3 linked regions of the Mus musculus genome follow. The protein of the gene in region 1 interacts with the protein of each later gene in a biochemical or structural test. Links are inferred from orthologs where the notes say so. Each region holds a gene or a part of one and is shown in the gene's direction. Other genes may lie near its edges. The genes, in order: Ncoa6, Tgs1 and Thra.

The links.
Region 2: the proteins of Ncoa6 (region 1) and Tgs1 form a complex in vitro, tested with the Homo sapiens proteins (2 studies listed by BioGRID). The link is inferred for Mus musculus from reciprocal best matches to the Homo sapiens genes NCOA6 and TGS1.
Region 3: the proteins of Ncoa6 (region 1) and Thra form a complex in vitro, tested with the Homo sapiens proteins (2 studies listed by BioGRID). The link is inferred for Mus musculus from reciprocal best matches to the Homo sapiens genes NCOA6 and THRA.

What each region holds. Positions count from the first base shown.
Region 1 is NC_000068.7:155,434,734-155,445,862, reverse strand, and holds the start of Ncoa6 (nuclear receptor coactivator 6), read left to right. Parts: upstream 1-5,079; 5' UTR 5,080-5,175; intron 5,176-7,723; 5' UTR 7,724-7,768; coding exon 7,769-8,003; intron 8,004-11,129. UniProt on the Homo sapiens protein: Nuclear receptor coactivator that directly binds nuclear receptors and stimulates the transcriptional activities in a hormone-dependent fashion. Coactivates expression in an agonist- and AF2-dependent manner.
Region 2 is NC_000070.6:3,569,799-3,580,902, forward strand, and holds the start of Tgs1 (trimethylguanosine synthase), read left to right. Parts: upstream 1-5,080; 5' UTR 5,081-5,227; coding exon 5,228-5,331; intron 5,332-8,909; exon of another isoform or gene 8,910-9,116; intron 9,117-11,104. UniProt on the Homo sapiens protein: Catalyzes the 2 serial methylation steps for the conversion of the 7-monomethylguanosine (m(7)G) caps of snRNAs and snoRNAs to a 2,2,7-trimethylguanosine (m(2,2,7)G) cap structure.
Region 3 is NC_000077.6:98,763,472-98,773,383, forward strand, and holds the end of Thra (thyroid hormone receptor alpha), read left to right. Parts: intron 1-57; coding exon 58-316; intron 317-806; coding exon 807-934; coding exon of another isoform or gene 935-1,057; exon of another isoform or gene 1,058-4,685; coding exon 4,686-5,054; 3' UTR 5,055-5,535; downstream 5,536-9,912. Other genes in the region: Nr1d1 (nuclear receptor subfamily 1 group D member 1), read right to left, coding at 4,749-4,948, 5,578-5,788, 6,232-6,417, 6,717-7,360, 7,729-7,873, 7,966-8,054, 8,322-8,663.

The sequences.
Region 1 (11,129 bases):
TCTCCTGCAAACAGTGTTTTTGGGGAAACATAATTAGCATTAGAATAACAGCAACTATAATATAGTTCTATTGTTCAGATTTTTTTTTACCTTTATTGCTCCTGTTTTATTTTACTGATTTTTTTTTAATACATCTGTGTTCACTGATAGACCCCTATTCTCCTATGAAGCAGACTGCTGATCTGTATTTGTTGGTTTCTGTGTGTGTGATGTGCTTCATATATGCAAGTACTCTGCCACAGAGTTACATGCTAGCCTTCTGTCATGTTAAGAAAACATTGCATGGGACTGGAGAGATGGCTCAGTGGTTAAGAGCACTGGTTTCTCTTCTATAGGACCCTGGTTTGATTCCAACATCCACATGGCAGCTCACAACTGTCTGTAGGCAGCATACAACTGTCTGTAACTCTAGCTTCAGGGGATTTGATGCCTTATTCTGGATTATACAGGCACAGCATACACATCCTGCACAGACATACATGCAGGCAAAACACTCATATACACGATACAAACAAACAAACAAGAATGGGATAAAGTACTTAGAAAAAAAGAAAAGATTGTATTTTTTTTCAAGTTTAGAAAATTATCAAGAATGAATGATTAAGTCAGACAGATGAGGTAAGCATAAAATCCAGCTATGCTGGAGGCTAAGACAACAGGATCAAGACTTGAAGGCTAGCCTGCCTTACACATTGCTAGTCCAGCCTAAGATGGAATGGTGGCATATACCTTTAGTCCCAGTACTCAGGAGGCAGAGGCAGAGGCAGGCAGATGTGGTGTACATAATGAGTGAGACCCAGTCTCTAAATAAAGAAGTAAACTGCCACCCTAATAGTGTCCCCTCACTCCCAAATAAAACGCACGTGTAAAACTCGAGAGTCAATACCCAGTATCGGAGGCAGGGGTATGTTACATTAATGGATATAATCACATAACATCTTCTCTCAGTTTTTTGATACGGAGTTTGCTTTGAATTCCATTAACAAACTTCCTTTAAAGTACTGCCAAGGTCTATTTAAAATTTGATTTAGAACCTCACACATTGGTGTAAGAGCACATAATTTAAAAAAATGGACCTATAGCTTTCTGCCTACAGATTGTGTTGGCTTTGAGTATATTTGCTTCATTAAATGAATTGGGGGGCTGGCAAGATTGCTCATTCAGTGAAGGGGCTGCTACTAAGTCTCATTACCTGCACTCAGTCACTGAGCCACATAAAAGTGGAAGGAGAACAGTGACTCTGAAGCTGTCCTCTGATGTCCATGTGAGTGCTGTGGCATGAGTATGCCCACATAGAAACAAATCATAAGTGCAATTTTAAAAAGCACTGAAAGGTTTTTATGGATACGTGTATACTCTGGAACAACTTCAGGCCATTAGACATCTGTCCTCTTTAAAGAAGTATTTTGTTTTTCATTAAGTTTGTATATGGTGCTTAGGGGTGAAGGGGACCCTGAAGATGGTCATGGCAGGGAAATGAACTGTAAAGAAGTGAGAATGAAAAATTGGTTCAGATTTACTTCATTAACCTAGATCAAGACTCTGGGGAGTCTGTTGCTGTGTGGTGTATTCCCAACAAATTTAAACGGTATAATTTGGAATAGCTTTCCTGATGTAATACAATCCTTGGTGCACAAGGAACAATTACACTGAAACTTAATTCAGGGTACATGTCATTTTTTCCGAGAAGATGGGTTCTAAAGACAGGAGGCTACCTGTACAAGCTTAATGGCCTAAGGAAGGGTCTGGCCTGTCTCCGTCATACTGACAGCAGAGAGGTCATCTGTGCTATAAGCCATCTCTGGTCCTGGTTGTGGGAGCTTGGAGGAGCCTCTGGCTATACAGATAATGTAAGGGTCATTCCTACTACTGAGTATCGCTGTCTGGGTTGTGGGAGCTTGGGGAGTCCCCTAGCTGTGAGGATCATTTAGATTACTAACTACTTTTGTTCCTGAGTTTATATTGGAGCTTGTTGTGGTCTGGTCCAACAGATACCACTGACCAGCAGCTTAGTCACTTCCAATTCCCAACTTTCTGGATGGAAAAACAGGTTTTGAGTCTTTCCCCTTGGAAAGACAATCCTGTGTGTATAACATTCCTGGTCTCCCTGGAGATCTTTGGGCTTAAAGACCTTCCTGCTGTGCTCTCAACCTAAGAATATCAAAACATTTATATTGTAGCTTGGCAGTAGCACGTGCTTTTAATCGCAATAGGCCAATGAAAGTGGATCTCTGAGTTCAAGGCCAGGCTGGTCTAGAGTGAATTTCAGAGCAGCCAGAGCTACACAGAGAAACCCTGACTCAAAAAAATAAAACAAAACAAAAATTTATACTATGAGGAACAAAATCTTGGCCAAAATAGTCACAGTCAGCAATCCTTTTTTGTTTCTGTTTTGTGTTACTTTGGTTGCTTGCTGTTTTCTCTTTTTTTCCATGGTGGGGGCAGTAAAGGGTTGTTTTTTTTTTTAAATAGTTTTGTATGTAGTCCTGGCTTTCCTAACTCAGTCTGTAGCCCATGCTGACCTCAAAAGGCATGTACCACCACTGCCTGGCTTGTTTTCCTTCTTTACTTTCTTAAGTTAACAAGTTATATAACTTTAAAATAGTCTTCCAATATTGACGTATTGGACCTGAGCATGGTAGCATATGCCTGTAATCACAGCACATGAGAAGTTGAGACAGGAGGATTGCCAAGAATTCAAGGTCAAGAGGCACATCCTGCCTCAAATATTTTTAATAATTTACCTGTTTACTTTTGTTTTATTGGATTTTTTTTTTTTTTACTGTTTTATTAACTTGAAACACTGTCTCATACAATGCAGGCCTCAGATTCTCTTTGTTCCTGACTGGCCTTGAACTACTGATCCTCCTGTCCTAAGCGCTTCCTCCTTCCAAGTGCTGAGATTACCAACCTGAGCCGCTGGGTCTGACCCGTTTTTTGATTATGGCCTTTAATTTGTGCCCTTCTTGCCTCTGCCTCCTGAAGGCTAATTGCAAGCAAGCCCCACCATGTCTGTCCTTCTGTTTCTAATTGAGTTCTAGTTTACTGATGTCGTCACTGGCTCCCTTTTAGCGCATTAGCTCACTCTAATGATTTTTTTCTAACTTTGAGGCAGCTATTTATTTACTTACTTCCCCCTATAACTCATGTAGATATTTTATGATTATTAATTTTCTTCCTCATTAATTTGCCTGTATTCTTGGGTTCCTATAGTTGTATTATTTATAGTTCTCTAGAAATATTGCATTTCTGCTTGGTATTTTTTTCTTAACCTGAATCTATAGGTTTTGCTATTGCTGTTAGATAGAGCTCTGTTTGTTGGTTTTCTTTTGAGATAATCACGTAAGTGCATTGTTACTAGAGTATTTGAGTACTCACTCATTGTGACTAGAGTATTTGAGTACTCACTCATTGTTAGTAGAGTATTTGAGTACTCACTCTATTGTTGTTTAAGATATATTGAGGTTTTTTCCTTATGGCCTAACTTTAAAAGTACCTTTTTCTTTAATTAAAAAAGCAATTAAATAACAGTTTTTGTTATTTATTAGTACATATTCATCTAAAGTTTCAAGATTATAGAAATCAATATTGAGCTCATAAGATAGTTTCTCTGAGGAGAGGGACACTTGGCCACCAAACCTGAAGACCCTAGTTCAGTCCCCAGGCTGGTGGCAGTGAAAAGCTGATTCTCACAAGTTGTCTTTTCACCTTTGCACAGTTACACATGTATGTATGTATGCACACATTAAATAGATGTTTCAAAGATTTTAACCAGTATGTGGCAATAACAAAATTGTAACACCAAAGTTAAAAATGTTATAGTCTGATACTGTCTTATTAAGATAGGTAATTTTTTTCTGAAGCGTGCCAAAAAAATTAATTTCCCATGTATAATTTGTATGTTTGCCGTAAAGAATGCTTTAAAATTTAAACTAAAATTTTAATTAAAACTACAAGATGGAGCTGGGCGTGGTGGTGCACGCCTTTAATCCCAGCACTCAGGAGGCAGAGGCAGGCGGATTTCTGAGTTTGAGGCCAGCCTGGTCTACAGAGTGAGCTCCAGGACAGCCAGAGCTATGCAGAGACACCTTGTCTCAAAAAAAACAAACAAACAGGGACTGGTGAGATGGCTCAGTGGTTAAGAGCACCGACTACTCTTCCAAAGGTTCCAAGTTCAAATCCCAGCAACCACATGGTGGCTCACAACCATCCGTAACGAAATCTGATGCCCTCTTCTGGAGTGTCTGAAGACAGCTATAGTGTACTTACATATAATAAATAAATGAATCTTTAAAAAAAATAAAACGCCTGACAGTAAAGCGACTCTTCTCACAGACCTGCTTTCCTCTCAGTGCAGGTCGGGCCCTCCTTAACAAACAAACTACAAGATATTGTGAATAAATAAGGAAAATATTTATACTTTATGGATTTTAAAAATAAGTTTGAAATTATGTTAGAAGATGTGAGTTTTGTATTAATGTGAATAGAAAATATTCTGTGGGGCTGGACAGATGCTCAGATGTTAAGAGCGCTGGCTGAACTTCCAGAAGACCTGGATTGCCTCTCAGCACTGATACGGTGGCTCACAACCATCTGTAACTCCAGTTCCAAGACATTCGACACCCTCTTCTGGCCTCCATAGGTACTAAACACACATGTGATACACATATATACATATAAGCAAAATACCCATGTCCACAAAAAAATCTTTTAAGACTTGTAAAAAGAAAAATATTTGTCTCCAAATATCTATAGGTAGTTTCCTTGTTTAATTTGGCAAGGTTAAGAGTAAAAGTCTGGAGGGTGCAAGAAAGCCAGAATTCCCAGTTCTGTGGCTCTTACATGAAGCTACTTGGGGTTCCTGAGTTTTGCTTCTTCATTCTACATGTGGGATAAGTTTTCTAGTGAAAACTGATTTAACAATCTCTAGAGTTTATGTATTTATGTATGTATTTATTTATTGTTCGTATTTTTAATCTTATTTCTTTATAATACTGTTTCTCTTCCTCCCCTCTCCTCCCCTCCCCCCCCCCTCTCTCCCTCTCCTCTTCTCTCTCTCTCTCTCTCTCTCTAAAAGAATTCTGATTGGTTGCTACTTTGACCTATAAGCCCTAAAGATGCCACCTTGCTTGGACTTAGAGGATGATCTGGATAAATGATAATTAAGACATTTTGGTAAGTGAAAGTTTATGTAAGAAATTCTTTTTTTTTTTAAGTCTACCTTTTTGGTTTTTCTTTTATTTTAAATTTGTTTTATATGTACTGTGTATATTTTGCATTCTTGTATGTCTGTATAACACATTCATGAAATTTCCAAGGAGGCCAGAAAAGGGTGGGTGACAAATGCCCTGGAACTGAGGTTACAAACAGTTGAAAACCTCCATGTAAGTTCTAGGAATTGAACCTGGGTTCCTAATTTCTTTCCCAGCATATTATCAGTACATAGAGAACCTAGCAATTTACTTTTATTTGCATGTGTGTTTATTGGTGCCTGTGGAGTCTAGAAGAGGATATTAGATCCCCTATAGCTGGAGTTCTAGGCAAGGTTGTGAGCCACCTGACATGGGAACTGAGCTTCAGTCCTCTCAAAGAGCACTTCACTGATGAACCATTTTACTAGCCCTGCTACTGGGTTTTCTAGGTTAATTTTATATCCCTGATATTTTCTTGAAAGTATTTACTACCTAACTCTTAATAGTTACCTTGAGACGTTCTTAGTATGTTTTAAGTAAGTGATCACATCTGTAAGTAGGAATGATTTGACTTCTGCCTTGCTTGTTTCTATGCTTTTTATTTACTACAGGCACTAGCTGGGCTGATATAATAGCACATACTTTTATTTTATTTTATATTTTGCATACACCTTTAATTCCAGCACTCCAGAGGCAGAGGCAGAGGCAGGTGGATCTCTATGATGAGTTTGAGGCCAGCAAAGTCGACAAAATGAGTTCCAAGACAGCAGAACTACACAGAGAAATCCTGTCTCAAAACAAGCAAACATACAACAAAGAGTTCAAGCACTATAATCAGTATGACCAGGGGTGAAGTGGGGCTGGAGAGTTGCTTAGGGGTTAGGATACTTGTTATTTTTGCAGAGAAGCCAAGTTCACTTCTTAGCACCCACACAAAACTATTGGATCCTCTAAGAGCAACATGTTCTCATAACTGCTGAGCCGTCTCTCCAGCCTCCACATCTTATTTCTATTGTATGTGCATATCTTGTAGGTGCATATGCCACCATGAGGTACAGAGGTTAGCAAACAGCACACAGAGGTGGTTGGTTCTCTCTGTCCTCACAAGGCGTGGCTACAAGTGCCTTTACACACTAACCCATCTCACCAGCCCTCATTGTATGGTGATCATTTTTATTTTTTTTTTAATTTTTTTTTTTTAGGTTATATCCTTTTGGTTTAATTTTGGTAATTCATGTATTGAGAAACATACCAGTTCCTTCTAGTTTTAACAACTTACTGGAAGTTTTCAAAAATTCCTTAGAGATCCTCTTTGAATCTCACTGCTTTAATATCTCCTTTTTAGTCTATGTATTATGTATATAATATATATTATGTATGTATACTTATCTTTTTTGAGGCCAAGCCTCTTTGTATCCCAAACTGGCCTTAAACTCCCTTTTAGCCAGATATGATCTTGGGTTTCTGAGATCCTCCTGCTTCCATCTTCCATGTGCTGGAATTATAGGTATGTATCGCTATGCCTGATTTGTGTGATGGTGGGGATCAAATCCAGGGCTTTGTGCATGTTAGGCAAGCTCTATAGCAACTGAGCTGCATCTTCAGCCTCCTCATTTTCTTAATTCATGTCTATTTATTTTGGTCAATTTGGTTATCTTATCAAAGAACTCTTTGTTTCGTTAATCTTTTATATTTTTCTTTTAATCCATTTTATTAACACCTATCCTAACATTTATTTTATCTTCCCCTTTTTTTTTGAAGAAAATGTTTAAACATCTGTTTATTTACTGTTGTGTGAGTGGGCTTGGTGTGTGTTTAAGTCAGATGACAACTTGTAGTTTAATTCTCTCCTGCCGTCATATGGATCTTGAGGGTCAAACTCATCGGCAAGCTTAGGAGCGGTCCTAGTCACCTGCTAAGTCAGCTCACCCGTCTGTGTCATGGCTTTCCAGCTACTAATTTTGGTTTGGTTTACTCTTGTTTAACTTTAATGACATATATCATTAAGTTATTTTTCTTTCTGTCCTACTTTGAAATGGTTGCTAAATACCTACAGTTTTTAGGCAGTTTCAAAACTCAGTCTTTCTCTTGCTAAGTAAGCAGCAGCTTTTTAGCCTTAAAATTTTTTTGTTAGTTTTATTTATTTACTTTTAATATTATTAGAAATTCTTAAATGTAGCTGGAGAAGTATAGTTATTTTATAAAGGATTTTTCTGGGTGCTGTTGTTTGAGACAAGAGCTTACTTCTGCAGCCTGGGGTGAGCTCAACTTATGATCTTCCAAAGCGCTGGGGTTGCAGGTGAGCACTGCTAACACTCAGATCTATTGATTTTCCTGTGTCACTTTGTATATTTCTCCCAATAGTCTAGTCTTAACAAAAAAAAAAGTAGCAAATAATATTATGAAAGGAAATTTTATCTGGTAAATAAATTACATCTTTTATAGAGGTATGGATAACATATTAAATAAAAATGATATGCTGACTATATAATGATAGTTTATAATACTCTGCATCCTCTCTTTTTCTGAAGGTTTACTTACTGTTCACTTTGCATATACTTCTGGAATAATACACCATGGTTTTGGATGACCTTCCAAACTTTGAAGACATCTATACTTCCTTGTGTTCATCTACAATGGGCGACTCAGAGGTGGAGTTTGACTCTGGACTAGAAGATGATGACACGAAAAGTGATAGTATTTTGGAGGATTCCACAATTTTTGTAGCCTTCAAAGGAAATATAGATGATAAAGACTTCAAATGGAAACTGGATGCAATATTAAAGAATGTGCCCAACTTGTTACACATGGGTAATTAATCTTTGCTTTCTTCTTGTTGCTTTGACATGCTTACTTGCCTACAACCATGATGCTAGGATTACAGGTTTAGGCTACCTTGCCTAGTTTTAAAAGTTGCTAGTAAAGTATATTGTAATTAAATAAATTTCAAATATATTAACATTAAAATTAGTATAGAGCTATCTGATGTGTGTGCAGAACACAGATAAGTTTCCAGTAATCATTAGATTGGAAGAAACTTTAGTGTCTTTGTCCTGTGGAGCCAAGATCTAAAGTTTTTCAGTGTATTGAAACATGTCTCCAAATGTGATGGAAAAGCAGGCTTAACACTTAGAGCTTGTCTGATTTCACTAGGTTTCAACTCAGCTTGCTTAGCCTTTCTCTGGGTCACAGTTTCCTTACCTTTAAGAGCACTTTGACTAAACATAGTCTAAGCATTTTTAAAATTTGTAAGTATATTAATCCCATCACCCTTAGCAGGTGGTCTGCTTTGTTCTTGTTTTACATCACAACAATAAATTCTGTGTTAATATTTTGTATCTAATGGTTTAAGAGCTGGAATGGGCTTAGGTGGCATATTGAAACGCTCTTCATGGATATCTGGATTTTGAGAAAGCATTTTCCTATAGAGCTATTTTATTAATATTGAAAGATGTAATTTGGGCAGTGTCACATACCTTTAATCCCAGCATTTGGTAGGCACAGGCCAGCCTTGTTTACAGAGTGAGTTCCAGAACAGCCAAGACTACACAGAGGAATTCTATCTCAAAAGAAAGAGAGAGATATAATTGAATAAAGGGTATGAACTGTTTAGTTGATCTGAGTTTATAACATAAGGGAAAATATTTTGTTTGGAGTTGCCAGATAGCTTTTATTTCCTTTCTTATCTGTGAAATGTAATTACAAACAATACTACTACCTCAGTTTACTTTGTAAATCTTTAATTGTAAAATACATATAGTAGAGTTTGCCATCTTTATGATTTTTATATATGGCTCAATGATTCTTAAATGCAATTAAAATATTATGCAACAATTACTAGTAGCTATTTTTATAACTCTTATAAAATTAAGATCTATAACTATTATATAATAACTTCTCATTCCCTACCTATTCAAGCCCTTAATAAGCACCATTGCACTTTTTTTTTTAATTTAAAAAATTAGATTTATGTGTATGGGTATTTTGCCTGCATGCATGCAATGTCCATAGAGGCCAGAAGAGGGCATCATATCTTCTGGAACTAGAACTACAGCCAGTTGTGACTTCCCTCTTGTGTGCTTAGAATTAAACCTTAATCCTCTGGAAAAGCAGCCAGTTATCTAACTCTCCAGCCCCCTTGCTTTATTTTTACCTACCCTATCAAAGCAAAATCCTGTATCTTTATTTCCTGTTTTATTTCCTTTAGCATAATATTCTCAGTGTTTGTCCATGAGCTGTAGCACATGCTAGGATTTCCTTCCTGTTTCAGGCCAAATATTCCACAGCATGTATGTATATACTACATCGTCTTACTGTTTATCTGTTGCTGGGCACTTGAATTCCTTCCGTGCTTTAGCTGTTATAAATAACGCTGCTGTAAATGTGGATATACTCTTCCATATTGTGCTTTCAATTCTTTGGACTGTATCCTTAGAAATACAAGTGCTGTATTATATTGCTGGGGACCAGCCCTGATATTCAGTTACTGAGGTGGGAAACAGCATCAGTCAAATGCCAAAGGCTGATGACCTCTGACCTTCTAACTCTCTCTTACTGTCTTGGGGGCCAGAAGCTGATGCAGTTTCATAGGGAAAAAAGAAGGGGGGGGCAGGCGCACATGTATGCACACATTCACACTTTGGCTGGGCCTAACCACCTGTTTCATCCATTTCACAAGTGTACATGCATACACATGTACCTACATACATATGTATGCCCAGACATATATAACATATATATATTTATATATATGTATGTATGTATGTGTGTGTATGTATATATATATATATTTTTTTTTTGGGTGGAGGAGCAGAGCCCCAAAAGCCATACTTTATTTCTTCTTTCCACCTTTTTATACCTTCTTACACAAAAGTTCTTTATAAAATTACCTCATAGATAAAATGTTACACAAATGGGGAGTTACAGTAGAATGTCAAAAGCAGTGTTTCATTCTATAAGCCCATTATAAGTTCAAAACAACAGTTTCACATAGCCTTGCTTTATCATAGTGCTCACCTGTGGTTTCATCTTTGGACCTGACCTAGAATCAATGTTTTCCTTGATCACAAATCTTTCTCAAATCTATTTCTCTTCTTAGTATAATTTATGAAAGCTTATCATACAGCCTTTACTTACTATTCTATGAAGAGGGGCACATTCTATTCTTGACTCTAACACTAAAACCATCTCCTTAAACTTTCTTCCTAAAATTATTTGAATTCTATAAAGTCATTAATTCATCTAAACAGCATTAATTCATAAATGTTTCATCTTCATGTTGAAGTCTGTAGGAAATTTGCTCAATAGAGTGGACTGATGCCCAAGAGTCATTAGGCTATGTAATAATGGCAGGAATCAGCCATTATTTTGCTGAAATGGCCAGCATATCAGCAGTGAGAAGCAATCCTGGGGCGAAGTCTCTGGGGCTGTGCCTCCTAGAAGGTCTATCACAACCATGCAAAATGGTGGGCCATCTCCAGGAAACTCGCTTGCTATAGCCTTTCCTAGATGTCTGGCTACTGTCATTATATAACTTTCTTTTTTAATTCCTCACCATATAGTTCTCTTAGTAGTTGTACTTTTTGTGTATTCCCATCATTAGTGCACAGGGGTTCCCAATTTCCCCCATATCATTGTCAACATTTGCTGTATTCTACTTTTATAATGACCACCCTAATGTGATATGGTATGTAGTCATTTGATAGTGTGTTAGGTTTGTTTGTTTATTTAGTTGGTTGGTTGGTTGGGTTGGGTTTGGTTTGGTTTTTGTTTGTTTGTTTGTTTGTTTTTTTCAAGACAGGGTTTCTCTGTATAGCCCAGGCTGTCCTGGAACTCACTCTGTAGACCAGGCTGGCCTCGAATTCAGAAATCTGCCTGCCTCTGCCTCCCAAGTGCTGGGATTAAAGGCATGCGCCACCACTGCCCAGCTTGATAGTG
Region 2 (11,104 bases), on another chromosome or scaffold:
AATGTTAAGTCTATTTTGCTAAAATAGTCATCTTTAATAACAAAGATAAGTAGGGTTTTTTAACACTTAACTGTGAGAATGATAAGGTTTTCTATATAAAATTATGAAGTGTTGGGTTTAGCTTTTGAAATAACTTGCAAGCTGTGAATTAAGAGGGAAAAGGTGATACAGAATGAAATTGCCACTCAAATTTATAATCTAACCCACATCTTCCATCGACCAAGCTCAAAATTTCACTCTTTATTCTGGGACTAACTGTGTCCTTCACAAAGGAAAGCATCAGCGTCTGATTCAGTAAAGTGATCCAGAGCTTTAGGAAATGATGGCTTATCCACATGGATAGTTTCTTTGATAGAGAAGCTGGTTTACCTAAGAGTTTATCTGCTCTTTTGACATTACAGAATTAAAAACTGCACTTTTTATCTTACAGTCACTAAAATTTCTGGTAAAATGTAAATGACTGAAAACACAGCTACAAAAATATTGCATAAGCTCACTCTCTAAAATAATTACTTGACTTACCAGATTACACAAATTACACAAATATCTTGTCTTTAGCTTCAATGCATATACTCTGAAAACACAATAAACAAATGAAATATATTACTAAACCAAAAAAAATCATTAGTCCCTTAAGTTTACATTTCCATGAAATAATGGCAGGAGATAGCCACAAATGTCTAACAAATAATGACAGCCCTAAGCATGTCACAAGTTACGTTCAGGCTACTCTGCACAGCTTCTATTAAGGCCCACCCAAGAAACTGTTGTACTACAGCTATAAATATTTACATCTATAAGAGGGAAGTATAAAGGTAAGATGTCTAAAGGGCTGTCACTTCCTACTAACTTTTAATAATAGGCTACAAGTCAATTCATCATGATGTTTGATAATAAAACTAAATTATCCTTAGGACATAATTACCTACGTAAGATTTCCTTCCTTCATTCATATGTTCACTGCTACAAAGTCTGATCTAGAGAAGTTTAACCGTCATTTAATATTAGATAATTTTAAGAAATCCATCTCAAAGTCTTTGTGACAGTCAGGAAAGGAGTAAATAAAAGAGAATAAACCAGACGCTCACACAAGAATAATTAAATACTATCTTGTTACCAAGGTTATCTTGCTGATAGCTTTGTAACAGAGCACATACTTTGACTAATAGAGGACTTGGTCTGATCTCCTTGAAATGAACAGCATTTTTCTTTGGCAGCACTGGGTAACACAGTAGATATTAAGCTCCTCAACCTACACTTTATTATATCGCTGCATTGGTTACCCTTCTCATCACTAAAAGTTCTGTTAAAACATAAATGACTGAAGGCATAGCTACAAATATATTGCATAAATTCTCTCTCTAAAATACTCATCACTGCCATCAAATACCCAACAAATAAAGCAGATGACAATAAGAAGGGTTGATTTCAAAGGAAATCAGAAATCATGGCAGGAAGGTATGGAAGCATAAAAGACTTGGTCCTGTGGCAACAAATAGGAAACAGAGAAGGGAATGCCAGTGGTCACTATGATTTCTGCTTTTCTCCTTTTTATTCAGTGCCATGGTCAACCCCTTCAAAATACTCAAAATACTCTCTCAGACACAGCCAATGGGATGCTTCACTAATGTACCAGGTGTTTCTTAATCAAATCAAGATCAAAATTGATAATAAAATAATAAAAGTTGTAATAAAATTCAGTCACTATACTAACAAATCCACCATATGAGTTAAACCATAATTTACCAGCATTTGACCATTTAAAATTCAATATAGCAATATTTACTGCCTTTAGAGGCCAGACAGACAGCTTCTGAAGAAGCTAAACATGTTACTATATTACCCAACAAATCTACTACTACATATATTCCCAAGAAGACTAAAGACATACCATTCACACCAAAACTTGTGCATTAGTAGCAGAATCATTCATAATAGTTGAAAAGTAGATTAAGATGCCCACCAACTGATGAGTGGATACAAATGATATAGCCATATAATACAGCACCACTCAGTCAAGAGAGCAGAGACCTGCTGCAACATGAGTGAACAATTAAAAACAAACAAAATGACAAATGGCCAGGCAGTTTGTGTCCACTGATATGTCATACCCAAAACAAGGTAATTTGAAAAGTTAGTGGTTGCCAGAGCTGGGGAATGTCAAAGAGATAACGAAATACCCTAGAATTAGAGAGTAAGGATGACGGAACCCACTAATCTACACAGTATAAAATGGTACATATTATTGTGAACTGTACCTCAAAAATTGTTTTTGTATTTAACACTGCTAATAAACAAAATGTTTAAACTTTCATATAGGTTAAAGGAAATTGCTTAGGCCCAATTAACAGTTTGAAACTTTGGCTGTTTTTGTTTAAGGCACTGACTCCAATAGACTTGTTTACATTTTAATAAGGTTTTGGGGTTTTTTTTGGTTTTTTTGTTTGTTTTTTTGTTTTGTTTTGAGACAGGGTTTCTCTGTATAGCCCTGGCTGACCTGGAACTCACTTTGTAGACCAGGCTGGCCTAGAACTCAAAAATCCGCCTACCTCTGCCTCCCAAGTGCTGGGATTAAAGGCGTGTGCCACCACCACCCGGCTAATAAGTTTTAGCATCTTGTGACTTTATAGCTTTATTTAGTACCTCCTTAGAAAACTTATTAATAGAATTATAGTAGTCTCCTTTAACCACAAAGTGTACATTCTAGGACTCAGGTAGATACCTAAAACTAAGAATAGGACCAAGTTCTATATAGGTTAAGTAACCACTGTCAACCCCAAAACCCAAGCTGCTCCAAAACTGAAAAATCTGAATGCCATCAAGTAGAAAATTCTACACTAGAAAATTCACAACCTCATAGAGTAAGCCTCAGTGAAAACTGCAGGTATATACATATGTGTGTGTATGTGTACATATGTATATATATGTGTATATATATGTAATGTATATAGATATATATTACCTCCAGCTATGAGCACAGTGTACATTCAAAACCTAAGCGAGATGAAGAATATCTTTAACAAAGAAAAAGAATGATCTCTACAACAAAAGTTATAAAAAACAAGGCCAAAATATTAAGAAGATATAAAAAATGAAAACATTCCATGTTCTTGTTTTGGAGAAATTAATGTTGTTAAGATGTGCATACTAGTCAAAACGGTATTTGGATTCAGCAAAATTCTAATAAAAAAATCAGACATTTCACAGAAATAGAAAAATACATTCATAGAACTAGAACAATCCCCAAACTCACATGGAGACACAAAAGACGAAATGTCCAAAGCAACCCCGAGCCCTAGAATAATGCTGAAGGCATTACCATACCCACCTTCAATGTAACCAGAACATGGAACTGTCATGAAGACATGTAGACCAAGGAAACCAAACAGAATATAAAAATAAACCCACGCTCTTGCCACCAATTTCTTTTAAACAAAGGCAGCAATGTTATTTTGCCCTTTAAAGTATTAAAAGAAAATATAGGGGAAACTATGCCCTCCAAAGAACAGACATCCAAAGCAAAAAAAACAAAAAAAAAACAAAAACAAAAAACAAAAAACAAAAAACAAAAAAAAAAACTATTAGTTGAACAGTAGATTTATTTCTAGAGTCAAAAGATTTATTTCTAAGTAGTCAAAAAACCCAAATAATCCCATTAAAAGGGGGGCTTGAATAGTCACTGGCTATCAAACATATGAAGAATAGATAGCAACACTGTTGTTGCTACTCTTGACTGTCAGCTTATGGGTTTAGAACCACCTAAGAGACAAACCTCTGAGAATGTCTGTGAGGTTGTTTGGTTGGTTTTGCTGTTGTTAATGGAGGTGGGAAGTCTCACACTAACTCTGGGTGGTGCCATATCAGTCTCTCATACAAGGAAGTTAATCTCAAAGATTAACAGCGAGTCAGGACAAGTGCAGGGAAGTATATAGACATGGTGATTTAGTGGGTGTGGAGCATAGCCAAAAGGAAGACTTAACTTTTAAAGCACAGTAGGAAAACTGGATTACAAAGTGAGTATCCAAAAACAGCTAAGAGAGAACAGTTTGAATGCCCCAACACAAAGAAACAGTGTCTGAGGTGAGAAATATATCGTTTCCCCGGATCTTCTCATGAATGTATCTTCTCATGATCTTCTACATGCACTGAAATGCTGCCCCGTGACCCAGAAATATGTAAAATTATTACATGCCATTGGCTTTTTAAAGAATTTTAAAATGTTTTTTTTTAATCACCTGACCCTGTGGGGAGGATGCATGAGTGAGCATGTGAAGGCGGAGGACAACTTTCATGCACCCGTGAATGTTTTGTCCCTTTAACCAACTCGAATAACCAATAAGCCTTCTCCTCACACCCATGTGTCACTTATCAATAAAAAGAAAACAAACAACAAAAACCCCTTGAGTTCAAGCTTCTTTCTCCGGGTTCTGATGTACATTACCTTGCAAAGATTTTGTTTTTCAATATAAAAATGCTCTTCTACTTTTGGTTAAAGTCCCCTACTCTTTTAATGACTACTCTTCTACTGCATCATAGTCTAACTCTAGTCACTCTCTCCAATAATGCTGTAAGACATTTAGTTATTTTTGAGACAGCATCTGTGTGGACCTGACTTGCTCTGCAGACTAAGCTGGCCTTGATCTCAGAGAGATCTGTCTGCTTCTGCCTCCCAAGTCTGAGATTAAAGGTGTATACCACCATGCCTATCTATAATTCACATCTAGACTGGTATATTGAATTTAGGAGTTATGAAAGGAAGGAATACTGCAGTTGTAGATATACTGCACGGCGCAGGCGCAGAGGCCGGGAACTAGTCCGGCTTTCCGCTCCGGGCCCCGCGACCAGGACACCACGCCTGCTACCGGCTAGAACAGCATGGAGAAGTCCATGGGGAGCTCGACGCACCTGACAAGAAAGTCACAGGAAATCGGCGACCTCGGCAGCTGGTCGGCGGCAGAGCCGGGAGAAGCAGACACGCGGGTAGTGCCGGTTTCCTTTAACTGCCTGAGAGGAAGAAGGCCGAGCCACATTGGGTGTAGGACCGTCGGTCGCCCCGCCCCTTCCGGTAGCTGCTGTCGCTGCTTCCGGTAGCGCGGCTGGCTGGCTCCCGGCTCGAGCGTCCCCAGGCGCGTTCCGCTCCTCTGCCCGCGCGAGTTACGCCTTTCTGTCTTCAGCAACAGCGCCCGGCCCAGTCGCGGACAACACCAGAGCGAGCCCGGATAACGAAATGTGTTGCGAGAAGTGGAACCATGTGGCCGAAATGCTGCTCTTCATTGAAGACCGCGAGGAGGAGTACAAGATCCTTTGCCTCTGCTCCCGGGCATTTGTGGAGTAAGTCGCGACGGTCCTCTCTCACTTTCTGTCCTTGCTCAGGAATGGGGGTGTCGCAGAGTTAGAGAGAGGCTTTCCAGAAAGCCACATGACCTGATGTCTAAGAAACTCGAAACCCCGCGGGCATGAAGGAATGTTCTACTGCAATTACTAAAGGGAAGATTAATATAATTTTGATTTTTTTTTAAATGTGGTACCTTATATGTGTCATTTCGGGTTTCCATAAATGAAGGGCCAATCTCAACATTGGTTGAGTCGGGCGAGATGGCCCAGGTATTGGCCATGCAGAAGGATAGCAAATTCAAGACCATCCTGAGCTATACCAGTAAGATGGAGTGTGAAGTGTAAACTAATACAAATAGATTGATGAGATGAAGGATCAAATTAGAGCTCTATTTGCAAACTGTAAAATCCTTTCCAACAAAAATTTATGTATCTGAAACGTCTAATTATTTGAGATAAAAGTGTTAACTGTTTATGGCAGTTTTAGAGACATCTCTGGGGGAAATGTTGGTTTCATGTTTAAAATTGCCAGAATAGAAAGTACCTTCTGGTGGGAAAAGCATTGACAAATTTTAAATTTGAAGGTACTCATTTTCATTATGTACTTGAGGGAAGATATCTGAAAGTTTCCTCAAAAAAGAAATATAACACCATGTTAAATTTAACATTTAAAAAATGTACTAGGCTCATTTGCACAGGTCCTGCTGGTTCAGAGTTGAACAGTCTTCTAGTGGGGGAGTGAGGATGATTATAAGACCGAAAAGAAGACTCAGAGACAAAGGTTAGAAATCCGGAGGGCTGCAGGCCTGAACCACACTGGCCCCAAATGTATTTCTCATAACCTTAATACACTTTACAGTATCATGGGAAACAAAGTCACAAACTAGCACAGACAATGGCTGACAGAGAATGGATATCTGTTCCCATCCGGAGGCCTCCCTGTTCCTTCCACAAAGATTAATCGAACGTTCAGCCTCTCTCCTTGAGCCTCAGTTGTAGCTTTTTGTTCCATGCCGTTGGCAGGCCAGGAAATCTGTCAGCCTGACCTGCCTTGACTCCGCCTAACAGACAGGCTTTTACAGAAGCAGACAAAAATGACTCCCAACGCTCAGGTGTACATTTAATTCAGTAAAGTTCTTTTTTATGCTCCTATTAGATGCTGGTAGGTAATGGAATATAAGATGGGACCAGGCTGCGCTGAATTCACTTTCTAAGCAAAAGAGATCAATATTGCACTAAGGTAGCGGTTTGCACAATTACTCAGTTAACTCAACTGGATAAGAGACATGTCTGTGGTGCTTTGATAGCAATCTGGCAGGATGGACAGTGAAAAATATGAAGCCTTGGGAGAGGAAAGGAACTCCTCCATTTAGAGTCTTCTTGAAGTGCCTTTTTGGCAGAAAGTCGAGAAAACCAGTATCCTTAACAGAATTTTATGTAAAAATGGCCTGAGTGAAAACATTACTTTTATGTAAAAATAGTTTGAGTAAGTATTAAAATAGGCTGGTGTGAATACTCACGCCTTTAATCCCAGCACTCAGGAAGGGGGAGGCAGAGGCAGGCTGATCTCTTGAGATCGAGGCCAGCCTGGTCTTCAGATAGGTTTTAGCACAGTCAGGGTTCTGTTACACAAAGAAAGCCTATCTCAAGAAGAAGAAAAAAAGAAAAAGAAAAAAAGGAAAGGAAGAAAAGTTGGACTGCAGCAGTGAGGTGGCTCAATGAGTAAAGGCATTTACCACCAATACTGAGGACCTGGGCTTGATCCTCAGGGTCCACGTGGTGCAAATAGAGACCCAACCCTAAAGACTTTAAGACATGGTCTTACCAAGTGACTGAGTGACTGGCTGGCCCAAAACTCACTACGTAAACCAGTATAATTTCAAACTCACAGAGCTTTGCCTGTCTTTGGCTCCCAACACTAGGATTAAAGGTGTGTGCCACCACATTCTGCCATATGTATGTATGTATGTATATATGTATGTATCTATGTATATGTTCTGTTTTGTTTTTTTAGAGACTGCTAAAATAACAATTAACCCATGCTTAAACATAAACTTTTGTGGTCTTACTTACTAGTTTATAGATGTGAACCTGAAATTTTCTGGAAATGGCTCTAAGACTAACGTTTGTTCACAGTAAAAACATCTTAATTTCTCATTATCAGTTATAATCCTATTTATCATCAGGGGCTTCTCTGTAATCTTACATGAACTTCTTATTGACCCACTGAGATAGAGCTTCAGAAGCCACCAGAAACATGGCTGATGAGTAAACTGAGCCAAACATGGGCTCAGGTCTGTATACACTTGGTTCCCATTAGTGGCACTGTTTGGGAAGGAGGTAAACCTTTGCTGGAGGAAGTAGATAGCTTGGGCAGTCTTTGAGAGTTCATAGTGTTGCCCACTTCTAGTTTGCATTCTCTCTGCTTCATGTTTTCAGTTGAAGATGTGCTCTCTCAGCTTCTTCTTCCAGTTGCCAGCTGCCATGTCTCCCTGCCATTATAGACTCTTCTCTGGAACTGTAAGCCAAAATAATGTCTTCCATAGTTGCTCTCTCTCCATCACGGTGTTTTATCACAACAGAAAGTAATTAGGACAGAAGTTGGTACCAGAAAATGGGCTGTTGCTGTGAAGAACCTGGCCATGTTGGGGTTTTGGGTTGTTTGTTTATTTGTTTTTGTGGTGGGTTTTTGGAGGAATGTGGAAGACTTTGTACTAGAAAAGAAGTTGGATGCTATAAGCAGAGCTTAATAGGCCATTCTAGTTAGAACCTGATAGGCATTAGTGTTGAGAATAAGATAGATTGTAGAGTCCCAGCTCAAGAGGGAATCAAGATTTTCATACTAACTTATCCATTCCTGTGCTGTTTTGGCAAAATCTGGCTGTTTTCTGTCCAAGTCCTGAGAACTTGCCTGAGGCTAAAGTATTGAATTTGTTTCTTTCAGAGAGAAACTACCAGCAATGACTTTTTCAGCCTTTGTGTAGGGGTTGCATCTGTGTAACATGTTGCTTGGTCTCCCTCAGAGACCTCTGAAAAGATTCAGGAAGAATCCAGAACCCTTCACTCTTGACTTAATAGCTAGTACTACATAGAAAACACTGCAAATTTGGCAGTGAAATTGAAATTAAAAGTCCAGCCTTATGACATAGAGCTACAGAATTTGGTCTTGCTTTGGTCCAACATGTCCTCACAGTGCCCCCATTTTTCTTTCTGTAACATTGTATATTGAAGTATATAATTTGGTTTTTGATTTTCCCGGGGGTAATGGTTAAGTGAATCTTCTAGAGTTTCAAAAATCTAAAATGTGAACTATAAATTCAAAAGCTAAACTTCAGTTTCTACTGAATGTGGATATTCATTGTATGTCACTCTAAAATTGGACCACAGTTATAAATTAAGGACAATCCAGGCTTCTGTACAATCCTATATATTTTGACCCCCTGCTTACTTCACTGACTGTCTTCTTAGTCTTTTCCTTCAGTTTCATAGGCTTTAACTGCCTCTAGACTTTACACAGAGCTTGGGTTACTAGGAATGCTTTTTCCCATTCACACCTACCTGTTTGTTTCTTTTAGACCTGTTTCCAAGGCCATTTCTCCAAAAAACCTCTGTCTATAGAGAAAGGTTCTGTCAGTCATAGTGGGGCAGAAAGTGCAGAAATAACTGTGCTGTCACCTACAGCACCCTCGGAGGACTTCTTAGAGACAGCTACTTAAATGAAGACAGAATGTTTAACCTCACAGCAGAAAAGACTCTAGGAAGCTGAGGTTTTGAACACAGAGGTAAGCATGAATGTTGATAGAAAGAAGAATGCATATAAAAAGGAAACACCCCTAAAGGTCTGAGCTTCTCAAAAGTATCCTTGTGTCTTTCACGTTAGCTGTATTAGTTGTTGCTGTGACAAAGGGCTATGACCAAAAAGCAACTTATGCAAGAGTTTATTTTGACTTTTCCAAAGGAAGAGTCCATGTCAGGAGGCATGCCAACAGACAACTGCAGCAGAAAGCTGAAAGTACAGACTGGAAGTGGGCAAGGCTGTGAACTCTCAAATCCTGCCGCAGTAATGTGCCTTCTCCAAGAAGGATACACCACCTTCCTAAACAGTGCTGCCAACAATAGGACCAAGTGTTTAAATACCTGAGGCTATAAAGTGGACACTTAACATTCAGACCACCACTTTGTGTTGTCTGTAGGCTCATTGCCTCTGTATGGGTGTGGGTACATACAATCATGTGTCCATAAGGAGGCCAGAGGACAATGCCTAATGCTTTCTTCTTTTCCTCTTTGCCTTATTCCTGTCAGGCAGGGTCTGTCACTGAAATTCACAGCTTTCTATTTGAGATAGACTGGCTGGCCAGCAAGCTCCTAGGTTCTGCCTGTGTCTTGGCAAACACAGGCATGCACAGCAAAGGTTCTTACCCATGAAGGGATCTCTTCATCCCCTACCCACTCTATTTTTGGCAGCAGTGTTGTGATTTGAATGAGAATGTCCCCATATATTTGTATGATTGAATCCAGTTAGAGGATCTGTTCAGGAAGCATTAGGAGTCTCACTGGGATGAGCTTTGAGATTTCAAAAGCCCACAACAGACCCAGTTAGTCTGTCTGTCTGTACACCCCTCCCCTTTCTGCTGCCTGTGACCTGAGAATCAGGACATAAACGCTTCTTTTTAAAGGAATTGCCTTGGTCATGATGTCTTTTCAAAACAATAGAATAGTGACTAGAAAGAGAAAGTGAACCTAGAATTTAACAATTATGCTATAAAGAGGTCAAAAATAAATACATGAAAAAATTTTCAAATCTAAACTACGTAGAGATTCCATCTCACCATACCATGACTGTCCTTAAGGAAAAAGCAATAGTCCTAGCAAATATATGTCATGTTAGAACTGAGTGAGAAAAGCTTTTTGGAACTGTTGGATGGAATCGTCCATTATTATGCAGGAGCCTCAAAAATACTAAAAATATAGCTACCTAATAATCCAGACAGATCACTTCTGGAAATAGACCCACGAGAATCTTAAGTCCACATCTTATGGAGATACTTGCGAATCCTGTATATTGTAGGTAGCACTAATCATAATAACTAAGTTATGGAGTTGATCTAGGTATCCGTCAGCAGATGAGTGGATAAATAAACTGGCCTATATACACAGTGATGTTAATCCATAAAGAGCAATGAAATTGTATCATTGAAATGAACTGTGAATAATCATCTTAAACAGACAGAATAAGCCAAACTCAGAGAAATATCAAATTTTCTCTCATTTGGAATATAGATTTCATGTATATGTGCATACGTAGCATATACACAGCATGAGAAATAAAATGGGGTATTTGGTGTATAAGTACAATATTTGTACCAAACTCCTGTGCCACTGTAGCATCCATAGTGGAGACTACTGGGGGAAAGGAAAGTGACTGTCAGGAGGGGAGAGGAGTGTGGACAAACTGTAGACTTTAAATCCATCACTATATAATTATACTTGTAAAACTTTAGAAGAAAGAATTAAAATTCAGAAAATTTACTAGTGAACCTCTATAGCACTAATTAAAAAAATAATAATAAAGCCCCAGAAAAGAAAACTTGAAGCAGGAGAATGAAATGATTATTTTACTTTGCTTCAACTATCACATTAGCACTTAAAAAATTTATCTGCAGAAGTGTGAATGGCTTGTAGAAGAAATTACTCAAAACTTTGTGCAGGAAAGAGATAATATAGCTTTGATTAAGGAGAATAGAGTAGATTGTAGGCCAGCATAGGCTTT
Region 3 (9,912 bases), on another chromosome or scaffold:
GACTGTGGGGTGTGGAGAGGATGCACTGAAGTGCTCTGTGATCCTGCTGTTCCACAGCTGCCTTGCGAAGACCAGATCATCCTCCTGAAGGGCTGCTGCATGGAGATCATGTCCCTGCGGGCAGCTGTCCGCTACGACCCTGAGAGTGACACCCTGACCCTGAGTGGGGAGATGGCGGTTAAGCGGGAACAGCTCAAGAATGGTGGCTTGGGTGTGGTCTCTGACGCCATCTTTGAACTGGGCAAGTCACTCTCTGCCTTTAACCTGGATGACACGGAAGTGGCTCTGCTGCAGGCTGTGCTGCTAATGTCAACAGGTATCTTGCTGTGGCTGAGAGGTGCCACAAGTTCCCAGGGCTCTTGCTTGCCTCTCTCCTTAGTTTTGCATAGGTTCTGTCTCACCCCTTCCCTCCCAGGCTGACTCTCTATGACCCCTACAATCCCCTGCCCTGCTAGCCTATGCTCTATTCTATTTTCTTTGCCCTCCTGTTTGGTTCCAGGCTTACTTATTGCCTCTCACTACCAATCCTCTCTCTGCCCATTCGTTTTCTGTTTCCAGCCTCCCTCTCCTCTCTGCCGTCTTTCGATTTCACTATCTTCCTTATGGATTGCTTCATGGCCGCAGGTCCTCAGTGTCCCTCCCTGAGCCCCAGCCACCTCCTCCTGCTACTACCCTCGTCCCTCAGTGCTATTTTCTCCCCTTGATCCCTCCCAGTCTCTCTGCCTCAGTATCCCATCATGCTTTCTCCTGCGGCTTTCCTAGACCCTCTTGTCCTCGGGCCTCATGCCTCTCTTTGCTCCCTGCAGACCGCTCCGGCCTGCTGTGCGTGGACAAGATCGAGAAGAGTCAGGAGGCCTACCTGCTGGCGTTTGAGCACTACGTCAACCACCGCAAACACAACATTCCGCACTTCTGGCCCAAGCTGCTGATGAAGGTGACTGACCTCCGCATGATCGGGGCCTGCCACGCCAGCCGCTTCCTCCACATGAAAGTCGAGTGCCCCACCGAACTCTTCCCCCCACTCTTCCTGGAGGTCTTTGAGGATCAGGAAGTCTAAAGCCTCAGGCGGCCAGAGGGTGTGCGGAGCTGGTGGGGAGGAGCCTGGAGAGAAGGGACAGAGCTGGGGGCTGAGGGAGAACCCCCATCTCTTCTCTCCTTCCTCCCATCCTTGGATAGATGCAGCTCCCATACACCCCTGCACTGCCCAGCCCCCTCAGACCCTCCAGCCCTTGGACAGGGCCATAAATGAACTTGCTATGAAAGGCAGTATGGGAGGCTAGGACCCAAGTTCTAGAGTCTCTGGGACCCCAACCTCTAAAAAAAGTAGGGGAAGGGAAGTAGGAAGAATTGAGAGGGACATGCCATCTTGACTGTAGGGTCAGGAGGAATGAGGAGTAGGGGCAGGTGCCCTTACTCACCCCTATACACACAGAGAGCCCTGCCAAGTTCCTTGGCCTAGATTTCCCTTCAGGCCACAGGTCTCTACTTCCCCAAATACCTGGGTCCTGGGTGCAAAGGACAGCTTGGCTTGGCTTGGCTTGGCTTAGCTCCTCCCCTGGAGGCTAAAAAAAAATGGTAGTCATCCTAACTGCACTTTGGAAACCAAGCAAGGGGAGAATATAAATGAAGAAAAACTAGACAGAAAAAAAAAACAAAAAACAAAAACAAAAAGACAAAAAAAGAGAGCGTTAGAGAGAGAGAGCGAGAGAGCGAGAGATGATATTAAGTTATTAGCTGAGGCTGGCCCAAGGGGAAGGATTCCCCCCCCCTTAACCCTGCCCTTCCCACCCCCATGCACTTTGAGAGCTGCCCTTCCGACCCCCAGAGAGAAATGCCCCAGGCAGACCTACAGAGGTAGGGCTGCCGCCCAGAGCTGTGAGAGGATACAACAGGGTCCCGGCAACCCCCTTGCCTTGCCCCCCACCCTCGTGCCCCTTTGGCACCGCACCCCAGTACTTCTGCTCTCTGCCACTTGTGCCCGCTGAGTTCCATCTACCTCTCACGCTGGATGCCAGCTGGCCCCTCACCAGCCTGCCCTGTTGCCCACACAGCTCCCCTTTCAAGTGCCCAGCCCCAGGGGCCTCCTGTCCCCCCACCCCATACCTTGACACCCACACAGGAAAAACTGTGGCCCGGGCTCCTTCCCTCTTCATATCCTGCAGTATTAGCTACAATCCAGATGCTGCTGTTGGGGTGGGGTGGGGTGGACATGTGTGTCTCCCAGAACCTCCACCCCTGTGGGACTCTTGTTTCCTGTCTGTCTTCGGGGCTCCCTTTGCTCTCCTTCCTGACTCCCACTGATGCGCTAGCCAGACATAGGGCAGGTTGGCATGCAGTGGGGGGTGTTTCTATCAGTGGCACTTAGCTGGGGCCCAGGGGAGGAGACAGTTGGCTCTCCTCCCATTTTTTTTGAAGCTCTTTAGGCCAGCCACCCCTCTGCCCCTGGGAACCCCTCTCCCCTCTTCTTTTCTAATTCAGGGACTTTGGCTTGAGCCACCTCCCACCCTTTGGTGAGGAGTGCTCTGTTGGTCTGCACTTGGGTGAGCTGCCTCCTCCTCCTCCTCCTCCTCCTCCTCCTCCCTTTGGCTAACAGCCCACTCCTCTGCAGAGAGAGAGAGAAAGAGAGAGAGGGAGGGAGGAGGTGGCCCTCCCAGAGTGGAAGGGAAGGGAGGAGGAGGAGGAACAGAGCAGACCAGTGGCCCTGGGCTCAGGGCTGCATGTCGGCAGGGATGGATGGGTGGACATAGATGCCCCCCGGAAGCCATGGGGAATGGGGCAGGGGGCGGGGGAGGGGTGCCAGGGCTTCCTGCGCTTTGCACTATTGGGGCAAAAATGTCTTAAGCAGTGGGGAACCTGCCACCCCACTCTGACCCTCAGCCTGCCACAGCCCCTACACACACACACACACACACACACACACACACACACACACACACACACACACACACACACACACACACACACACACACACACGTGGAAGGCAATGCTTTGCTGTTCCCAGGCAGTGTCCTTTGCCACTGTTCAGGTGTTCCAACTGGGCAGAGGGCCTGGAGGAGCATCTCCTGTCACCTGTGCATGTGCCTGCCCCACTCCTTGGGGCCCCTGGGCCACCTGTGCTATCTTCATCTCTATCTTCTTTTCTCTCTCTCCCGGGGTACTGATTTCTGTATTCCTCCAGTCCCATGGATAATACTCTCATACTTCCCTCCCATACCTGGGGACTCAGTGGAGTTCCTGACCTGCCTGCTGTCTCCCTTCTTCCCCTGACTCCACTCCCCTCCATTCCCATTCTCAGCCATAGGCATGGCCTCTTATAGGCACTTGGGAATTCCCCCCTCCCCCCAATCATATGAGCTGTGAGCCCCTGCCCCTCAGCCCTTCCCCTCCCCCTCAGTGATGTGGAGTGTATGTGTGTGTTCCTTCGTGTGAGTGGATGAGTGAGTCTACGTTGTGGGAGGAGCCAGAGAGACTCAGGAGTGCCACGCACCTGCTCTAGAGAGGCAGCTGTCCCAGTCCCTGCCATGGAAGTGGGGGACAGGGCCCTCTCCTGGGGGCCATTGGTGCTAATGGGGGGATGGCCTTGGCATGGGTGCTTAGCATGCCTTCCCCCAATGTTGGCCCGGGGCACTAGGGCAGGCCGGGTGGGGCAGCAGGTGCAGTATTGATGGGAGGGGTGGGTTGCTGGGAGAAGGTTGGGGGGGCCAGGCCAGGACAAGGGGGTGCCAGAGCCATGACCACTACCCTGCCCTACCACTGCCTCTCCATCTCAGTATTCCCCCCCCCCCATCACTTATAACACACATACCTCATCCAGCCTCCTCCCTGCTCAGACTTGGGGAGGGTGGGGGAGGAGGAGCCCCTACCCCTTCCCCGGGCGGTGGGCTGGGAGAGAGCAGGGCGTGTGACATGGACACCGTCCGTCCATCCATAAGGGGGAAATTACTTCCTGCCCTAGGAACTCCTGGGTGGAGGAGGGGGACACTACCCAGAGGCGCTACTGAATGTATGAGAAGCTGGTGCTGAGGTGGGGGGAGGGGTTGTGGCTAGAAACAGGGAAGGAGATAGGTCCTTTCCCCAGAGATGGGTGGGACCGGCAGGGGTGACTTGAGGGGCTCCTCCTCCTGCCCCACAGTTGACAATCAGTATGTCTGTTATGTGCGAATTTTTCACCCCGTTGTGTTTTGGGTCAGGATTTTAAAGAAAGATATTTTTATGGTAATTGTTGCTCGTCTATTTTACTATATATTTATGTAATAAATATATGATGAAAATAACCCCCTTGGGCACCCCCCCTTAGACTTGCGTGCTGTTTCCCCATATTCTCCCATCTGCTGGCAGAGTACCCACCCCACAAGCTGACCAGATGGAGAGGTGTCTTCCCCCCCCCCCACACCCCCTTGGCAGTAGTCCCCCACCCCCACCCCAATTCCCCAAACGAGCACACATCACAGAAGCCAGCTCAGCTGTGAACTATTGGATTTGAGACAGGAACAGAACAAATCGAGGGGCCAGAGGAGGGTGGAGAGAGCAAGAGTGGTTTAAATAGGGGAGGATGGGAGCATGGCGGTGGGGGTGGGGGAAGAGTTATTTACAAGAAGGCTCAGGGGGCCAGAGGCTCATCTTGGAATATTTTATAACAATATAAATAAGATTCTGGTTTGCTTTTCCTTTTCGTCTCGTAAAGGAGAGAGAAGTGCAGAGTTCGATTCTGTACAAGGGGGCAGCGGCAGAAGGCCGGCCGGGCGGGTCACTGGGCGTCCACCCGGAAGGACAGCAGCTTCTCGGAATGCATGTTGTTCAGGGTCCGCAGGTCCGGCAGCTTGAGCAGCAGCTTGGTGAAGCGGGAAGTCTCCGAGGGCCGGTTCTTCAGCACCAGAGCCCGAAGAGCCCGCAGCAGCGTCTCCTGGAGCTGCTCCACCGAAGCGGAATTCTCCATTCCCGAGCGGTCTGTGGGGAAGACGACAGCAGTGAGGCGAGCTCCCTGAGCTCCTCCTCTGACACGGAGGACACGGAGGTCTGCGAGGACCAGGCAGGCAAGGCAGCCTCTCCCTGAGGCCCCTCGGAGGGCAACGGGAAAGGAGAAGGAGGGCGCTACTCCTTCTCCCTGGGGGGCCTCTGCCCTAGAGCGGGGCCACGCCCACACGCTGGGAGCATGGCCACAGGCTGGCCACCTCCCACTCCTCGAGCCCACCCTCCTACCCTGAGCATGCCACTCGTGGCCAAGCTCCCTTGTTATTTGCTCTGTAGTTCCCTCTGCCTGGGATGCCCTTCCCCCTCTCTATGCCTGGCAGTTATCTTGTCCCTTTGAGGCCCCACATCAAGTGTCACCTCCTTCCCCAGCTCTCCCGGGCAGAAATAGTCGTCTGTGCTTACTTGGTTCATGCTTCTTGTGTGACACTTCTCGCTGTTTTATAATTAGTCGGGCATGAGTCTGTTTCCCAAGCTAGACTGTGTCTGAATCATGTCTGTAGCCCAGTGCCCAGTGCTGGGCCTGGCATAGAGTAGGTTCTCCATAAAAGGTATGTTGAATTGAACTGCGTGTGCCTCCTCCAGGGTCAGGGGAGAGCTTGGCTCACCTGCAGAGACAAGCACCACCGCGGTGAATAGGCCCAGCTCCTCCTCGGTAAGTGCCAGGGAGTTGAGCTTCTCGCTGAAGTCAAACATGGCATTGAGCAGGTCGCCCATGCCCATGGCACCGAGCTCCTGCAGACTGTAGGTTGTGCGGCTCAGGAACATCACTGTCTGGTCCTTCACGTTGAACAACGATGCAAAGCGCACCATCAGCACCTGAAGGGAGGGTGGACATTTTTTGAGTGAGATGGGAGGGGCATTTTGCCAAATGACCCCTAGAGCCTGCTAATAACTTTGAGGGGTGTTTCCTTAGATTGTCAGTAAGGGGGTCAGTCTCTGATTGGTCAATGAGGGATGCAGGTGGGAGTGCCCGCCACTTCTGGAATGTAATTTAACCGAAGGTCACCAGCTCCGGCCTAGAGTAGAGGAGAGTTGTCTCTTTGGTTACTCTGATGCACTGAGTTTGGAGGCAACACCAGCCTAGAGGATAGACTTCCCACAGACCCTGAGGTGCCGAGCTAGCGGTGTTACAAGTTCTATCTCCTCAGACAGAGAGATAACACAGGGCCAAAGACTCTGGGAAGCCCTTCCCACTCCAGTCACCACACTACTGGGGCCCTCCCACAGTCAAGAGCAGGGAACATAAAAGTACCGCTCACCTCAAAGGTGCCAGCCTTAAGCAGGGTCACCTGGTCGTGCTGAGAAAGGTCACGGAAGCCTGGGATGTGTTTGGCAAACTCTACCACCTCCCGAACGGCAGGCGTGAAGCTCATAGAGAAGTCTTCCCAGATCTCCTGCACAGTCCGGCCGCTGCGTCCATGGGGATACATGTTCATGGGACATGCCTAAGAGGAGAATGGAGTAAGGAGGGACATGTTAGCTGGGTGGGCTCCCCAACAGGACTGGTTCCAAGTACTGTCTGGGCTAAGAGCTGTGGCCCTTGAGAAGGGGTCTCTCACCTAAATCGGTAATCAGGTGCCGAATGGTGATTAAGGATTCCCAGGTAAAACCCAGATTTTGGGGTAGAATGTCCTTTCCTGGACAGAAGTCCCCACCCCCAGCCTCTAGGAACACTGGCTGTCTTTCTCTAGTCCCAATCTTCCAAGGCCCCCTCGCTCTCTCCACACTGGCTCCATGCCCTCACCAGCAGAACATTCTTGGTGTTGCCTTGCCGTAGACTGTTGGCAGGTGCCTCCCCTTCTGGGGCCGAATATACGTGGGTGGGGCACAGACGGTGCCCATTGCTGTTAGGTTGGTGGCAGCTGTGGTGGGTGGGGCCAGAAGGCCAGGTAGGCGGGTAGGAGGAAGGGCCCTGGCGTAGACCATTCAGCGCTTCATTATGACGCTGAGCCGCCAAAAGGTTGTTGTCGTTGGGGGCAGACGGGCATCCCTGACTCTCCCAGCGGTGTGGAGTTGTAGCTGAAGGGCTACCTGATGCATGATTGGCATTGAAGTTACCAGGTGAGGTGCCTAACTTGTCATGGGCATAGGTGAAGATTTCTCGATGGGCCCGGGCGACCTGGGATATCACATCCTCCATGGTGGGCTCAGGGCTGGGAGACCTGGGTGGTGTCAGCTGTTGTGGGAACTGAGAGAAGCCCACCAAAGGTGTGGGGGCTGGTGCAGGAGGAGGTGAGGGGCCCATGGAGCCAGAGGTGGGATGTGGAGTAGGTGAGGTCTCTAGAGGGCACAGGCTGCTCAGTTGGTTGTTGGCCAAGTTCATGGCGCTCTGCATCTCGGCAAGCATCCGTTGCTTCTCTCTCTTGGGGATGCGCCCAAAACGCACAGCTGCAACAGGGCGAGAACCGTGTCAGGAAGTCCTGACATACTCACATGCGTCTCTTCCTTCCTTCCGCCCGAAAGGGCAAGCAAGACCCTAAAAGCCTGGGGGGTTCCACATCAAAACTGAAACCAGCAAAGCCACACCCATTCAGGGGGTGTGAGAGGAGATGACCAGGGGGTGGGGGTGGGGGGGGATATGAATGGTAGAAGAGTGTGTGTTTGCCCAAGAGGTTAGCACCTGGGTATCCTCCATGTAAACAACACTCACAGTACCATCCTTCTCAACTTGAGGCTCTTTCTTAAACGGAGGGATTAAGGCAGAAGCCGGGTGGAAGAAAATGGGGCGAGAAGGAGATATGGGAATACTGCCTTACCATCTCTAGACATGCCAACGGAGAGACACTTCTTGAAGCGACACTGCTGGCAGCGGTTGCGATTGATGCGAACGATGGAGCAGTTTTCGTTTTTCAGACACCGTTTGTACTGGATATTCTGTTGGATGCTCCGGCGAAAAAAGCCCTGGAAGGCAGGGGCGACGCATGAATGTCTTCATCTAAGCCGAGCCTGTGCATGCATCCCCTGCCCAGGTCCTCAACCCTAACCCGCCTCACCTTGCAGCCCTCACAGGCGTGCACTCCATAGTGGAAGCCTGAGGCCACGTCCCCACACACCTTACACAGTAGCACCATGCCATTCAGCTCTGTGGGAAGAGACAGGCAGAGGGTAATACGGACTCCTTCTGGGCTCAAGGTTCTAGGAGGGGAAAGCTGAGGGGCTCTCACGTCTAGGTGACTGGACTGGACTGGATAGGAGCTGGCACAAACTCTTAAGAGAAATTCCAAAGGCCAGAGCACAGACCCCCATCCCCTCCCACCTCCCCAAGAGTAACTCTCAGATGGAAACCAACTCTATCAACTACGTCTGGGCTCACTTCCTTTCCCCCTACATCAGCTGGGCATTGACTTACTGGTAATGTTGCTTGTGCCCTTGCTGGGGGACACTCGGCTGCTGTCTTCCATGGCCACTTGTAGACTTCCTGGGGGGCTCCCGTTATAGAAGGAGGAGGAGGATGAAGAGGATGACGATGATGCAGAAGAAGGGGAGCTATCATCACTGAGACTGGGTGGCGCACTGCCAAAAGAGCGGGCAGGGTCCTGGGTGAGGGAGCCAGTAGGTGATGGTGGGAAGTATGTGGGACAACCTTGAGTCAGGGACTGGAAGCTGCCATTGGAGCTGTCACTGTAGAGGGACTCCGGGCTGGTCCGGCTCGGGGAGGAGCCACTAGAGCCAATGTAGGTGATAACACCACCTAAATAAGAGAACACAAGGGGAGGGTATCAGCCATCAAGTCTGTCATTCACACAGTCATCATCAGAACATTAGACCCCCTAACCTTGGAGTAAGAAGCAATTCTCCCACACAGACTAAATATAGCACGGCCGGTCAACCTAGTCGTTATTAGAAACTCTCCATCACATGCTACTTATGATAACCAAGTCCGGCCCCAAAATACCCATGGCCATTGCTTTGCACAATACATTAAGCTTCTGGTTTGGGTGGGAGGTGTAACTCCAGTGGCCATCTCATACATGGGAACCCCTGAGCTAGCTGCTTCCTGGGGAGTACTGACAGCAGCTAGGGTCTTAGTTACAAGGGGGGTAGACTTGGGAAGGAGATGGACAGCTGACAGTTATTCATACACACACACACAAAAAAAACTAGCCACTAGTTCTACACTGAGACCTTTCCAGTGATGGACCCTGCAGCGTGATGGGTAGCTAGCCTAGTGCGAGGAAAATGGAGGTGTACAAACGTAAAACGGTCACACCTTGCTTTCAAACCCAAAGACATATTCTCATAGAGTACTGCAGGGAAGGACTCTCTGTTCAGCCTGGCTCTGGCCTCTGAGAGATGAGTCACAAGAGACTTAGAAATGTGACAGATAAGACTCAGATGAGTTGCAGGAGATGAAAGGGAGAAACAAAGTATCCATTCTAGGGATTTAGGAATTCCCCTTCCTTCTCAGCCCGGTGGTAACTTTAGCTCTATAGCCACTCAGCCAGCGGCTCTGTCCCTCTGGTTACATTGCGGGCCAGGTGATTCGGCTCCTGTGGTATGCACAGAAGAGAAGGGCCACTTGTCTGCCACACCTCTGCCAAGTACTTAGCCTGGCCGGCCATGGGTGGAGTGGGGAAAGGGGAGGATCCTCAGACACGTGTGTGAGGTGACACATGCCATGCCACCGAGTCGACAGAAGCACATGTCTTGCTCACCCACTGACACACACTAAACCAGGCAGGGCAACCTTAAAATAGCTCAAGGTTGGTCAGGGTGAACCCTGCCTGTAAAATAAGTCACAGAATGGTTACCCGGCTATGGTTTCACGGCTGGGTTGGAGGATGGGTTATTTATGTGGACCTAAATGAACTTGACCTAGTTAATCCTGAAAGAGGGCATGAGAAAGTCACTAAAAAAAAAAGTCTTCCAACTTTGAAGTGATGGGCAATGCTCAAAAGACCCTAGCTCTCCATCTAGATGTGTATTGCTACCGATTAGCT